Linked DNA regions of Lepisosteus oculatus. The protein of the gene in region 1 binds, or shares a complex with, the protein of each later gene. Links are inferred from orthologs where the notes say so. Each region holds a gene or a part of one and is shown on either strand. Other genes may lie near its edges.

Region 1 (7,075 bases):
TCTTATGATTACATCAGTGAAATAAAGAAATTACAAGAGGATTTTAACAGGAAGATATTTGCATAATGTCCCAGTAATTTTAAATATCAGCCTAGAAACTACTATCCCTAGAATACTGTGTGAACATTTCAGTCAACCATAAAATGAAAGAAGTTCAAGTTGGTAGCTGTGTCAGCATGCATAGGCTGCAAAGGAACAGCTAAACGTTTTATTCCATGCTGAGAAGAAAAGAGACTCAACGTTTGGACTCTGGAGCCTTCTTCAGGAGGCTGAAGAAGGCTCCACAGTCCAAACACCGAGTCTATTTTCTTTTCAGCAATGAAATAAACCATTTGTGTTCCTTTGCATAAAATAAAGGGTTATGCAGTTGCTGAATTCATTTGGGTCCCTAGTGTTTCCAAGTGTACTCAGCCAAATGGAGATTGAGAGTTAACCTTCTACGTCAACAAGCGTAACTTCAAATGTCAAACCTTGATTTCTTCTTTTGTTTGGAACACTGGAAAATATTTATTTGCAAATACAGAGACCACAGTTCTTAAACTTGACCTCTTTTCATTATGGCATAAATATATCACAGCATATTTGGGAGTCTTGAGAAATATACAGCAAAGAGCTTCACAACTGCTGTTGAAAAATGGGTAACAGAAATATTTAATTAGTGTACCCTTAGGGTGTTGCAAACTGGATACACCTTCCTCTCCCACAAGTAAAATACTTTTAACTGTGAATCATAACTGCAGTTAAAGTTTAACAAACTGCTTCAAGGTGGTCTTAAATATGCAAACCCCTACTGTATATATGAAAGCACATGAGCTACAGATTAATTGAAAAGGCTTATATGTAGAATATTTAATATAATATTTATATTCTCACTAGTTTTTCAGCGTTGCACCCCTGCCTTTTCTGATCATCACATAGGTCTAGTTCTGCTATTTGCTGTCTGCCACTTATAGCTGTTAAAATGCTGAGTTGCAGATATAATCATCACAATGCAGTAACTGAGTCTCAGGCTATGCATGACTACACAAAAATCTGAAGGAGCCACTGCTAATCTAACATGAACTCAAAACAGCTCATCACATGACAGAAGTTCATGTGAGAATCTGCTGCTTTTCTGGATTGCCCAAGACATCCAGTCTTCTGGATGGTCCCTCCTGTTTTGTGCTATATGGTTCCTCTGTTTTGTGTTATAAGGACTTCTCACCAGCCGTAGTACAAAAAAAACCCACAATCACCCATTTATAAAATCTGTACTCCCCTTTAAGTCATTACTGACAGGCTTTCCATAGTACAGCATCAAAGTACTTCTACTTTTGTCATACCTCTCTAATCTGGAAGGACTGAAATCATCACAAGAGGCAATAGGAGTAAATATATTCCTGTGCTTTTACTATTGAGATTTCTTTTCCACAGTCCTTTTTGCTATTAAATGAATCTGTTACCACAGATATCTACTGTGAGTTCTAAGTAGCTCTCTACAGTTAACACTGTCTTGTTTGAGGATGCTCCTCGGAAACGCTATGGAATGAAGAACAGAAGGGGTCCCACTGTCACCTGCGTCATGAGGGGCTGGAAGAAAAGAAGGCTGGCCATCCAGTTATCATGGTATTTGTCTCAATCTGTGAAGCCCTGCTCCCAGAAGCAAAAGGAGAAGTATCAGCAACTTTGCTTATCTACTGCAGGTAACTGTGACTGCCCCATGCATTACAGACACATGGTTAGGAAATTAAAATGATTACAAATCCAACCATTTTCTTAACCAATTATCCATTACAGGATCACAGTAAGCCAAAAATGCAGCCTATCCTATAGCAAGCAACAGGAACAACGCAGCACCCTGAACAGGACACACGTCCATTTCAGGGCACAGATACAAACACAAACACACACCAGGGCCAGCTTTCCCTGATGTTAATTGACCTAACAGTATGTCTTTGGACTGTGGAAGGAAGCCAGAGCACCTGAAGGAAACCCACACGACCAAAAGAAGAATATACAAACTCCGTGCAGAGAACACCCCAGGATCTGAACCCAGAGCTCAGCCCTGCAAAGCGTCAATGCTGCATCACGTACCACCCATTATTAATGTTATCAAAAGAATAATCATGCATGAGAAATGGGTCTTATTTTCTGGATGTATTCTAAGGAGTGACAATTGCTAACACACAGCAATTATAACAGAGGACTGACACAGTAAAGCACATCTAGCGTTTTCAGTCCTTTTCAGACAACATGTTTCAGGGTTCTTGAACTATTTTGCTTTCTGTAATAATTCTCACTTCAGGTATCACTTTACTCATTGCATGCTATGTGTCCTGGTGTCTTCAGAGTTGTAGGGTGTAACACTCTTCTGTAGTGTGAGATTTTGTTTAATCCTAAGACAACACTGCAATGTTAAGGATACTGCCTTCTCGCTATCAAAAATACAAAGTACACTCTCAGAGAAAATTCAAATGATTAAAAATGGGAAAACAGTCAAACCCACAGCTGGTTTGACAGTAGCAAACACTAGCAATTCCTCCTAAAATAACTCATCTGATCATTTGTGATACGTCCAAGGTTCTGTACCCAAAATATCATAAGTCAAAATTATTTCTCTGGAGACCCAATCAGATAATTCAGGAAATGATAAAGGCATGTCCAGTTGCCTATCTGAAGCACACCAAAAGCTCCTTTGCTTACCTTCACATGTATGAACAACAAACAAAGCAAGATATGGAGGTACTTACTTTTACGTACATAAAATCCAACTCCTGGTTCATCTTCAAGCTCTTTGAAAGCACTATTTACTGACGAGCTTAATAACTTTGTTGAGACATGAAATGCAGCCAGCACAGAGAAAATGGATTGGTTGAAGTCACACTTGATGAAGGCTTTCCATTGCAGCTACAAGTGTTTACGGGCTTCTACTGTAGCTACAAGAATCTTGATATTCCACACTGCTGGACTTATCACCAGTGAGACTAGGAGCTGAAGGACACTTCCACAGCCCTCCAGAGCACAGACACAGCCCAGTACGAGTGGCGAATTTCTGATTGCTATGATGTGTACTCAGTTATCTTTCAATGGCATTTTATTTTCCCATTTAGAGCACAAAGGGGAGAGTGTTTTCGAATGGGCTACGTAGTAAGACAATTATGAACACAGCTGGTCTTATGACAATTCATGGTCTACAAGATAGTGGATCACCAATTGCCTCCAAGGCAAGGAGTTAATGCAGAGCACAGAAACTGCTTTTCTTCCTAAGCTTGGAAACCCACACATTTCTATTAATTTGAAAGCTGGACCAATTACGGAAAAATAATATGTTAGGGGACACAGGACTTGGGCATACAATCAAATAAAGTTCTGCTGAACATTCCGTGCATAAATACATTCAAAGGCATAGTACTGAACTGACGTTGCAATATTTCAGTGGAGAACCAGCAAAGTCACACAGCAGCAAAGCACTCTGTTAAAGACATGCTGAATAAAGAGAGAACAATATTGCATACTGCAGAATTACTCTATTTAAAGCATGTGTATGTATGGCTAAAATCATCTGTTTCAATGACTAGACCACAACTTCCTTGTCATACATTTGTGTTTATTTCTGCATTAACCTTTTTTGTTGGCATTTTTCATTTTTTAAATACATTACGTTAAACCAGGTGCATTCCTTATTTGAGGGAGAAGGTGAGAAGAAGTGAGAAATGAGCCCATCTTGTGCAATCTGCATGCACTGGTACGCCCTAGTTTCGAAGGTGCAGAAACTGTAGAAATCTGTAGCCATGCATCCCTATCAGGAGCTGCTGTGCCAGTGAAGGCGTAGGCCAAGTCCATGAGCTGCTGGCTCTGCCTGAGCCTTACATCATCTGTGCTCACTGCCTCTTTGTGGTTAGGAACTCAAGGTTTGGTAAGAGGCTCATTACACTTCTAGACCAAACAGAGCACTGCATTGCTATTACATCATTTCCTCAGGGAAGGGACTGCAGACAGCAAGATTAAACAAATCGCAAGGACCTCGGTATCAGTCCCATCTTCGCTACCACCATGCCTAATGCAACCATGCTTTTATTTTGCGTGAACAGCCAAGAATGTGTTTTGTTTGGCGCATTTCGTTTCTGTTTCTGCTTCAAGAGATGGACAAAATAATTCGATTTCATGAATCTGCCTCAATCTTGCTATAACTTGTTCTAAGAACAAGAACATTCTGAGCATTTTCTTTGCAAAAACCAATTAACTTTTTTTGTAACACACAGGTTACACAAAGGCAGATGTGGACAGCTGAATGCAAGCTTGGTACAAGCACAGGCAAACACTGATGACTAAAGTATGCCTGAACATTCCTGTGTCTGTCAGCTGTGAAACCCTTAGAGATGTTTACAAAGCTAATGAAGTTCTCACACGCTGGCTTAAGACAAATGGACTATTTATTCTGCCCTGGAATACTGCAATTACTAAACTTAAAGTTATGCTTTTCTCCTTCCTGCCACTGCTTAGATTACAGGATGTGCTGTGAATATGGCCTAATAAAAATATGCACAGATGAAGAAAAAATACTTTTTCATAAAACCTAGTCTATAAACCATGCTCATATTCATAGCATGCGATTCCTATAGTTCCAGTCACACTATTAAAAGTAATCTATTTTTTAGATAAGAAAATAAATTCTGTTGACCTTACACTTCAATATATTGCATAGAGTAGTGATAAGGCCAATTTGATCAGCAATGCAGGACTGAGGGCATGCAGTTCATTAGACTCCAGTCCATGGACTGTGATGTTGCCACTACTCCTCTGGGCCAGCAGCCTGAACCAGGACTAACAAAGCTGCTCTCCAAGGTGCTTAATTAGTTAATGGGTTATGATCTGACTGTGTTTTTCAAGCAAAAATAATAACGGAACTGTACATTAGCATGTATTTATATCGTGTAACAACATAATAGCGCGCCTCTACACAGAGAATGTACAGTAATAATTACGGTCTAATAAATCCAGTTTCAATCAACTGCATTCTATGGAGATGAATCTGTCAACGGTGTACAGTGAATCCAATCAACAGCTCATCCATTACCGGGTTGCCTTGTGCTGATTTCACAGCACAAAAAGAGGCAGCGGTTTGCACAGCGTTAAGGCAAGGTGGCTGGGGCACCTTGCGCCACAGTGCATCGTCACTGATGGAAATGGCCTGGCTCAGCATCACAGCCGTACCTATCCTGCGTTCTTCGTTCAACTTCACAGTCCGACTCGCACACACAGTAAACACCGGGCTGAAGATGCAGCCCTCGAAAAAACAGCCTTATTCCGGACTGTTACTCGTCCATATCCTTAAAGAATGTTAAATTCTAAAGGAGGTTCGTTAGTAGCACTTGATTTTCCATCAGCAGTATTTTCTGCAACCATCGCCCCCTGACACTCCACAGTTACGCATAAGCATTAAATGTGCTCAATCTAATTTATAGGAAAATAGCTATACTCTGAAAAAAAAACAATAATTACATCCATTCTCCCCTTGACTTGAAAAAATAATTCCGAGAATATGGTAGAATTTAACGTCTCTGAGCACATTTGAAGGACAGAGCTGTGCAAGTACCGGTTAATTTAACTGCCCTCGGGTGAATCAGACAAGCATTCGTAAGACACTGATTTTTTTTTTAAAGGAATAAAAAACGGTGTCCTGCAGCAGCAGCACTGTAGCACCAAAAGTCTCGTTTCAGCGCCACATCGCACACACGCAATTCAGTGGTACATTAAACTGCGGAGAACCAAAAATCAAAAGATGTCATTCATTCATTCCTGCCTGCCTGGCCATTGTTCAATCGTCTGCTCCACCGGCAGCTGGTTTGCTCTTTTTCTGTGGGGGGGGGGACAACATCACAGAACGGGAAATACAATCTTAACTCAGACGCGCATCCCAAAACACGGGACGGCTGCTGGGAAACAGTAACATGCAAAAGCTGCAGCTGCAATCTGAACGCCGCACCGTCAAGCGGAATACAAAATCCAGCATTACCTTTGTGTACAGCTCGGACGCTGCCATGACGGTCTATCCAGCGTTGGTCTAATCCTGGTCAGCAGAACATCAGTGGTGCGCTTAATTTGTCGGACTCGCTTCACTGGCGTTGCTCTCTTGTTCTTTGTAAATCCTTTCCAGCAAACGGGGAGACGGCTCAAGCAGAGGTAGCAAACGCCATGATACCTGAAAATCTTGCTATTTTAGTGTCTCTCTGTGCATTCTGGGTATGATGAATGAAATCATTCAGCGAAAACCCGTTGCTAACCATGAATCTGATGTAATCCGAGCGACGGCTGCCTCCCAGCGGCGGTGCTTCATTTTTAACACAGTTCTGTCAAATGTTGAAATAAATAGAGCGTCCGTCGGTGGCGTAAATCAGGTTTCGAAAGAAGCTGTAATCAACATTCATTTTCCAAACAATGCACATACTGAGTGGTATAAATTTGAAAGGCATCTGAGTATGTCACGAAAAACTAGGGTAGAAATGTAAATGAGAACGTGAGAACTAGACCATGGTTTTTTAACGTTGTAATAGGGATATATCCGCAGCAGGGAACTACTATTAAATCTGTGTCTTCCAATATGAAGCTAATTTTCTTGATAAAAAGTTTAGTTAGCAGAACTATAGTTTAATATTCCATATGAATAATAATGTCCTTTCCGTTGACAACCATTGTACTGTCTAGACTTCTTAAGAGTAATAGCCTTAGTCAATCTTAATTAAAAAGAAACTTTAATTCTGTCCAAGACACGATAAGGATGTGAGTACAGCAACTTGAGACTATGCAATTAATTTAACTAAACGTTTTAAAGTTATGTTTTCATTGTTAGATGCTTGACAGATTAATTTAATAAAACAATAACCGAAAGGAGTGTATCTTCTGTTATTGGGGAGAATTGGGGAGAGTTTAACTGATCCGTACCCAGTTGATAACTGCAAAACAATTACATTATTTTAGTCAAATTAAAAATCAAAATATCGTTCAATGAGTTTCTTGATGCCTCTTGACCAACAATATAGCGATCTCTTTAAGTTATCTATTGCACCTCTTTCTTCAGTAAACGCTAAAATCCATC
Region 2 (7,557 bases), on another chromosome or scaffold:
GCTTGACACAATGTAACTTCAAGTTGGTTTTAGAAAATAATGCAAATGGCTATTCAGTGTTCCAGTAGTTTGGTCAGCAGTGTAACTCACCTAGCTGGGGGAAGGGCAGACTAACCATAAGAATGAGGCTGACACAGGCCCCTCCCCCTTCACTTTCATGAGGAATGAGCAAGGGAGCTGCTGGAAGGGTGAAGAAGAGGTGTCGAGAAGGGTGCAAAAGAGAAGCACAAAGGGACATTCAGGAGGCAAGCTGCAGTATATACTGTGTATGTAGGAGAGTAGAAGTGGGCGAGATTAGGAACCGACTTTCTGCCACATTTGTTAAAACAGTCCATTTGTTGCACAAATGAAAATATTATATATATATACAACACTTTATTTAACATGTTTCCACAAACCTTTTGACCACTGTAAGATCACATAGCGATAATAAGCAAATAAAGTAGTAAACTTCAGTAAATTAACTCCTCTATGGTCACTCTTGAATGGATATCACTAATGTTTGATGTGCAGGTGTTACCTTTCAGTTACCAAAAAATAGATAACACTTTATTAAAGGGAGTGAAAACTCTTGTGTAAATCCGTCATAACGTAATACATTAATACAGTGTCAATAATCGAGTTATCCCTAGTAATGATTAATGGCACAGTTATTAGTCATATATGTACATTTCATAATTGTATAACTAATATAATTTTGTGGCTATTCATTTAATACTGGTAAAAAACTTAAAAGCTATGTTAGCAGTGTTAAATTCTGAGTAAATTAATGCTCCTGAAAAACTGTTTTTGCATTATTACTTTAAATCTTATTATTTGATTTCTCATTTAGTAGTCTTTTACACAGAAGTTATAGAACGTTTTAATAACCTGCCTAGATGGTGTTTGTTATGCACTGTGGACTAAACGAATTCATGACCTGCAGGTCAGGATTTACTGGAGGGACATGTTTACTCCACCCACAATAAGCAGTCAAACTTCCATCTTGTAAAGAAACCAACTATAGAGCGAAAATATTATCCCTACTGCTTATAAATTATCCATCTTTCTTTGTGTATTTATATAAACTAGTATTTGTTTTCTGAATGGGGCCTTATGTTGAAAGGCCATTACGTTTTCCCGTTACAAATGATACAAAATAAAAATAACAAAAAAAATGAAAATATTTTGTATGAACAGTATACTATTTTAACATCAAAATTTTGATAAAATGCCAAATCCAAAGGATAATTATACTCGTCAAAAAAACATCATAAACAAGGGGATTTGTTAATAAATTTACTTTGAAATTGTGACAAAACTGCATGACATAATACAGTCGTATTAGTGACCAACTACAGTAGGTTCACTATTACGTCGTGTAGTCAATGCAAAGCGCTAACTTCACGTTTACCGAAACTTTCTCCCTGTAATACAAAACCCGTGATCAATATTCCTATAATGCTATTTGAAAAAGAAAACGGCACGCCCTGTTGACTAATATTTTGATTACGAGTAAAGGTAAAACAAGGATTGGCACTTTGTGTGTGTACAATCTTGAGGGTGTGAGATATTTAAGCACCTTGGATCTCTTGAGATTAAAACGAGTTGGCTACTTACATCGACGCCTACTGTACTAGTATCGGTAAATTCCTTTATAGACCATATTCTTTTTAAAGTGCGCCCTTGCAAATCAATGACAGTTGCCTAAGTCTAACTCTAAGGCTAACAAATCGTAGTCAAGTTAAATTCAATTTACTTAAAATGCACAACATTTAAGTGAAATTATAGTAAAAACGGACAAACGAAATGGGTAGCATCAGGATACGATACAAAGTTAAAATCTCGTGCGAAGGTAAAGGGAATAATTCGCAGATATTCAAAATAGTATTTTAAATATATTTTTTTTAAATATTAGACGGAATAAGACTAGGTACACTAAGCAGCACATATCCAGCAAGGACGTCAGAAGAATTAACAACAGTTTGTCGAGAAAAAGAGAATATATACTGTACGACATATTCTCTTTTTCTCGTCATTAAAGACAGAAGAACCTGTGCATTAAGGTTGAATAAGTGGATATGGAATGCTATTAACTATGTATAAAAAGATGTTAAGATGTTAAATATTTACATTTTGTCTAAAACTCTTTTGCTATTTATCTTTTAAAGATAACTTTAAGAATCCAATTCAGCAGGGAAATTGGCTTTTGTACAATGCTTCATAATGCTCATTTGTTTTATAATGACAAAATGTTTTTGGCCAAAAAATATTCACACGTTTAAGTGTTATCATTATATATACAGTATACTAACACTATAACACTAAAATATGATCTAACATCCTCATACAAACCACGCAGTGTACAATTGTTGATATATTGTTATTTCAGCAAGGAAACAATAATTAACGCTACAGTTAAAAAAAAACTTTATGCAAAGGCAACAGCATCATATTAAAAGAAGCACGCCCTTTCTGAATCCGGGTGACACACCATCTTTACATCAGACCTGTTATGCAAAAGTCCTATTTGCACAAAAAGGGTGGTTTAGGATGTATCACCATCTACGTGAAAAAGAACTGTGTAGTGGTATGCCAGTAGCTAACTAATATCTTGCCATTACGTTCAGAATTGCAATATAAAATGCGCCTTACTTGTTTTATTTACTGGTATTTCTGGCAACAACAACAATTTACTTTTTATTCCAGTTGTTGACTTTTATCATTCATTTGTATGCATTTGTTGTGTACTGTTATAAGATATACTGCATTGTAAAGAAAACCTCAACCTCAGTTTTATTCTGTTTAAATTCAAACGTCAAGATATCAGCTGAGGGAAAATAAAACAGTTATTGATTTTTAAAATACATTTTCTGCATTATCGACGCAAATGTAAAGAGAAGAGCCGAAAATTAACCAGTTTTTAAAATGTTAATATTTACCTTCACCTGTACCCTGACTGTGCTGTTACGAGCTTTAATCCCTGGAGAGTTTGACAGCAAAACTGTAAAAGGGTTTAAGTAAATTAATCACATGCTAAGTTAACTAAGGGGGGTATCCAATCTCCGCCCCCTTTGCACTTTCACAACGGGTCATTTCATATCACAAGGTTAGTTAACATGGCTGTTTACGGAACATATTTATAGAAAACTAAAGACTTTTTAGCTCACGGATGCAAATAATTTGTTGTACAGGTATATCAAAATAGTACAGGACGCCCACATATTTGGTGACCTAAAACCTTTACACGATGCCAGCAAGACTCCTTTTCTGAATTCTTTATTATTTCTAAGAAAAGTTTTCTTCAGCTTTTTCCCTTTGGGAATCCCAAAAGTGTTCTGAAGACTACTGTATTTGTTACGATCCATAAGGAGTTTTGAAGAATAAAAATATTTTTCTGGAGTCCCAGAGCTACAGTATGTGGGAGATTTAATAGTTACTTGTACCAGCACTAGTACAGTACGTGTTAATCTTATTTAAGGACACAATATATTTGTATGAACATGTGTTCTCACATTAGTGTAGGTCATAAATCTAAGCTATACTAACACTTAGAGTTAACCTCTAAGTGTTTCACTGTAGTGCTAGTGTTAACCACTCAGGTAGATGTTTATAAAAGGTAATTCACAATAAAATATTTCTAAATAAATAATGTATGTGGAAAGACTATATTGTGTTTTTTCTTTATGGTTAATTATATATTTTGCTCTGATTAATGGGCGTTTTCAATAAAAGCTCAGGAGGAGGTCCAAACTTTGTCTTGACTACTTCCATTTACAGTATACATACTGTAAATATCATCATTAAATCTTGCAGGAGCTCCTGGGATCATCCCTCATAAAAAGTTAGGGCTCTGACATCCTCATCCTCACAGCCAGGTTGTCAATTCAGGCAGGCGCGTAAAACCAGCAAAGCAAACTAATTCAAATCATGCCTGGTCTGCACCATCTTAATCATGGTTTGTCCAAACTGTTGAACAGACAGAATTAGCACACTGAAGTCATAACAGACTTTAAGAGGAAGCCATGAGGAATGCAATTGTTTTAGCCCTGGTGTAAAGCAGGGAGGATTCATTGCTGAATTTGGGCACTTTCATCTTTAAGAGATCTTCTGGACGATGTCCATAGGCCATACATGTGGAAAACACTGACCTAGAAACTAACTACTTCTCAACTTTGTTTTGTTCTGACGACAGACATGAGGATTTTAAAATGCCTTTCAGCATTATGTAAAGAGCCCAATTAATTGTTCATCGGATTCCAGCAAAACAAGCTATTTGTGCTTGGGCAGTTTGAGCCAGAAGAACTTCGAACAAACAGCTTCTTTTCCATGTGTCAACAACATCTTATCTACCGTCCTCTATTTTATAATTAGTTTATAAACTTAACTTAACTTTCAATGCTGTGAAAATTCAGACACAGAATATTCTTTAAAGACGTGAATGAAACACTTTACTTCGACTGTTCGTGTTATGAGGAAAATCTGAGTCAATGTGCCTGTCATGTGCTCTCTGCAAGAAGTGATTCCATTTTTTTTCTGCTGTGAAAAAGCTAATCTTCCAAATGAAAATGACATTTTTTCGATCTCTGCACTAGTATTTATTAAGCATGTAGTACTAGTACACAGTATGTACTGTACAGGATAGGAAAAGTAGAACTAATCTGTTAGTCAGTGGTACCAACTCTGCTCTGTGTGTTGTGCATATGAAGGATACATTATCTGGCTTTAGTTTTCCCTGTTTGGATCCTGAATTCTAAATAAGGTAAATAAGAGGTCTGATTTTCTTGCTACTCAGACTCCAAGATTAGCACTGTTTTAAATCAGCAGTCGGCGTTTAGTACAAATCTGAAGTCATTTGGTGAAAGGAGGGTGATTTTTAAAGCAAAGATCATGGTTATGCTTTTGGATGCCCCTACAGTTTGCTTGAATAGTTTTCCTTTCTAGCTCTTTCTGTGCACACACCTGTCTTGCTTCGAGAGCAATAATGCATTTAATGTTAATAAATCAGAAAACATTGGAAATTTAATAGAAAAGGGTTTCTCTACACTTATTTTACCTGGTCCCTTATCAGCACAAAATATATATGGTGACAAAAAGAGAGGGAGTAGAAATTATGGTAAAAGCTTGACAGAGTATGGTAAGGCATGATAAATGCTGGGAGTCATAGTAAAGCATAGTAAATGCTTAGTATTAGCAGGTAAACCATGGAAAAGCAGTAAAACTACTATGCATATACTGTATATACTATGATAAAGCCTTTTAAGGGAGATCTCACATCCAAGTCTTGGAGAACCTTAGTGTTGTTTGTTTTTCTTTCAAACCAAGCTCTCAGCTACTTAACTGAACCAATTGTCTTAATAACTGGAAAATAATCCATCCATCCATTTTATAACTGCTTCAACCAACACAGGGCCGCGGGGGAGCTGGAATCTAGTGGAGCAAGCAACAAGGACACACCCTTGACTGCTGTCCATTGCAGTACTGGGAAATTATATTTTTTAAACATTTCTCAAATTAAAAGAATTGAAACTCTCCAGAACCGATGGTAGAGATCAATCAGTATTTTTTTTCTTCTGTACAGTAGGCAAAACCTTAGAAGAGCAGTATCACTATAGATTATTGAAAACATTTATTTTCAGAAAAAAGCCCTAAACATGTATTAGCAAGCGGTTTAAGGAAAAGCACGTACATCTTTAAGTCATGGTAAGGAATACCCTGTAAATAATAACATTTCCCATCTGCTTCAACAGGGTAAATTACATTTTATTATTTTCTAGTTAGTTTGAATTTAACTTTGTCTACATGCAAAACATTAGCACACAAAAAAAACTTCTGTCAGGATTACCATGCCTTTGGCAGCTCAGTCTGTAATGTATAAAGAGCTTTTTGTTTGATTGCCTTTCTGCTTTATTTTTCAAGCCATGTGATGGATGTGATCTGTCACGGTTAGCAGGACATAAGAATATGAGTGTTATCAAGCGAGAGGAGGCCATTCAGCCCATCTAACCTGTTACGTTTTTAGTAACTTATTCACCTGAAGATTTTATCCAGCCATTTCCTGAAAGAAGCACAAGTATCAGCTTCAACAACATGCCTGGATAGCCTGTTTCAGGCTCCCAGAAACGTTTGTGTAAAGAAAAGGTACTCTACCATGTGAACTCACTTTTACACACATTTTCCTGTAGTTTCCATGTAAGTCCTCTGGTTCCTGTTTCACTGGTGATTCTGAAGCAGTCCATTAGGTTAACTTTGACAGTGTCTTTGAGAATGTTTTTGTCTGTTGAAGACTAAGAAGATTCAATTCTGTCAGCCTGTCAGCATCTGGTTCCTATTCTCTGGACCGATTCCATAATATCAATATCTATTTTGTGTTATAGTGGACAAAATTGCACACAATATTCTAAATAAAGTCTAACTAGTGCACTGTATTGTTTTAACTTAACATTCCTCAATTTAAGGTCTACACTTTTAAGTATAAATCCCAACATTCTGTTTGCCTTTTGCATTGCTTCCTTACAGTGTGTGAAAATGAAAACAATGTGCCTACTGTACATAGACATTGAAATCTTTCTCAAGTAGCCTTTTCTGGGGCTCCCATTAAGATGGTTGATGGATTCATTCCTATTGGCAAATCAGCTTCCATGAATTTGATGTTCTATATCCAATTTCCCCTTTCAGAAGAAGGTATATCCACCTCTGCCTTCCTTGACTTGCTCTTCTCAAACTCATCAGGTTCAGTCAAAGTGGTCATGTCAATGTCATATCTCGGGTGTTTTTGTGCCACAAATGCAGAGATGTTTTGTCGGAACAGTCTATGATGGTTCATGTCCTCTCTCATTTGCATTTTCAGTCAGAAGATTAATCCCTCTGGAAGCAGTTATCCAATTAAGTGTGATTATATAGACCATGTTTAAGGCACATTTTGTTTCCACTCCCCCAATTTTTTTTTTAATTTCACACTCACATCAAAATCTGAACCATTATAGCTATTCCACTCTTCTGATCTATATTAAGTCACTGGTTATGAATTCAGAGTTAACATGTCACAGTAAAGCCCAAGGTTCATAATACAAAGCTGTCAATAAGCAGACAGAAAATACTTTGCATACTGTTTGTCTTGTGCTCTGCATCATAGAAGACAGCTTTTGAATTAAGCATGATCATTTATGCTGTTTTCATAAAGTATAAAATCTGTCAATATTTTAAAGCATAAAAAGAACCTTAGAAGGCAGCTCTTGTATATAACAAAATATTAACAAAATGTGCAGCAGTGTAGCCACATAAAGGAATAATAATTAGTGACCAAAAACCAGTAGTTACTGAAACCAGCAAAAAAGGAGCTTTAAACCACAGACTGAGAACCCTGGTTTACAATTTAATAAATTCAGTGTAAATTGTGAGCATCATAAAAATAACCGTTTAGATATAATGAAAATTATGGAAAATTATGGAGAAGCACTGGCAAGAAAGCAAAGGACTACATTTAATTGTAAAATGTAATCTTATTCAATTGAAGTCCTTCTCACAAAGAAATTTTGGCTATTATTGCACACATATATTTAGTCTAGAAGCAATGAT

The links. The genes of interacting proteins can lie anywhere in the genome.
Region 2: the proteins of myo5aa (region 1) and melanophilin are in contact, whole or in part, in a crystal structure (PDB 4KP3), measured with the Mus musculus proteins. The link is inferred for Lepisosteus oculatus from reciprocal best matches to the Homo sapiens genes MYO5A and MLPH. Residues at the interface, in NP_034994.2 of Mus musculus: Asp1524, Val1527, Arg1528, Leu1531, Thr1532, Ile1535, Asn1536, Lys1539, Ser1570, Gly1571, Leu1588, Thr1589, Asn1590, Phe1591, Asp1592, Leu1593, Ala1594, Glu1595, Tyr1596, Val1599; in NP_443748.2 of Mus musculus: Lys184, Lys186, Arg187, Leu188, Leu189, Ser190, Phe191, Arg192, Asp195, Phe196, Glu197.

The regions. Positions count from the first base shown.
Region 1 is NC_090700.1:44,823,296-44,830,370, forward strand, and holds the start of myo5aa (unconventional myosin-Va), read right to left. Parts: upstream 3,019-7,075; 5' UTR 2,763-3,018; coding exon 2,730-2,762; intron 1-2,729. UniProt on the Homo sapiens protein: Processive actin-based motor that can move in large steps approximating the 36-nm pseudo-repeat of the actin filament. Can hydrolyze ATP in the presence of actin, which is essential for its function as a motor protein. Involved in melanosome transport.
Region 2 is NC_090707.1:10,066,254-10,073,810, reverse strand, and holds the start of melanophilin, read right to left. Parts: upstream 3,011-7,557; 5' UTR 2,922-3,010; intron 1-2,921. UniProt on the Homo sapiens protein: Rab effector protein involved in melanosome transport. Serves as link between melanosome-bound RAB27A and the motor protein MYO5A.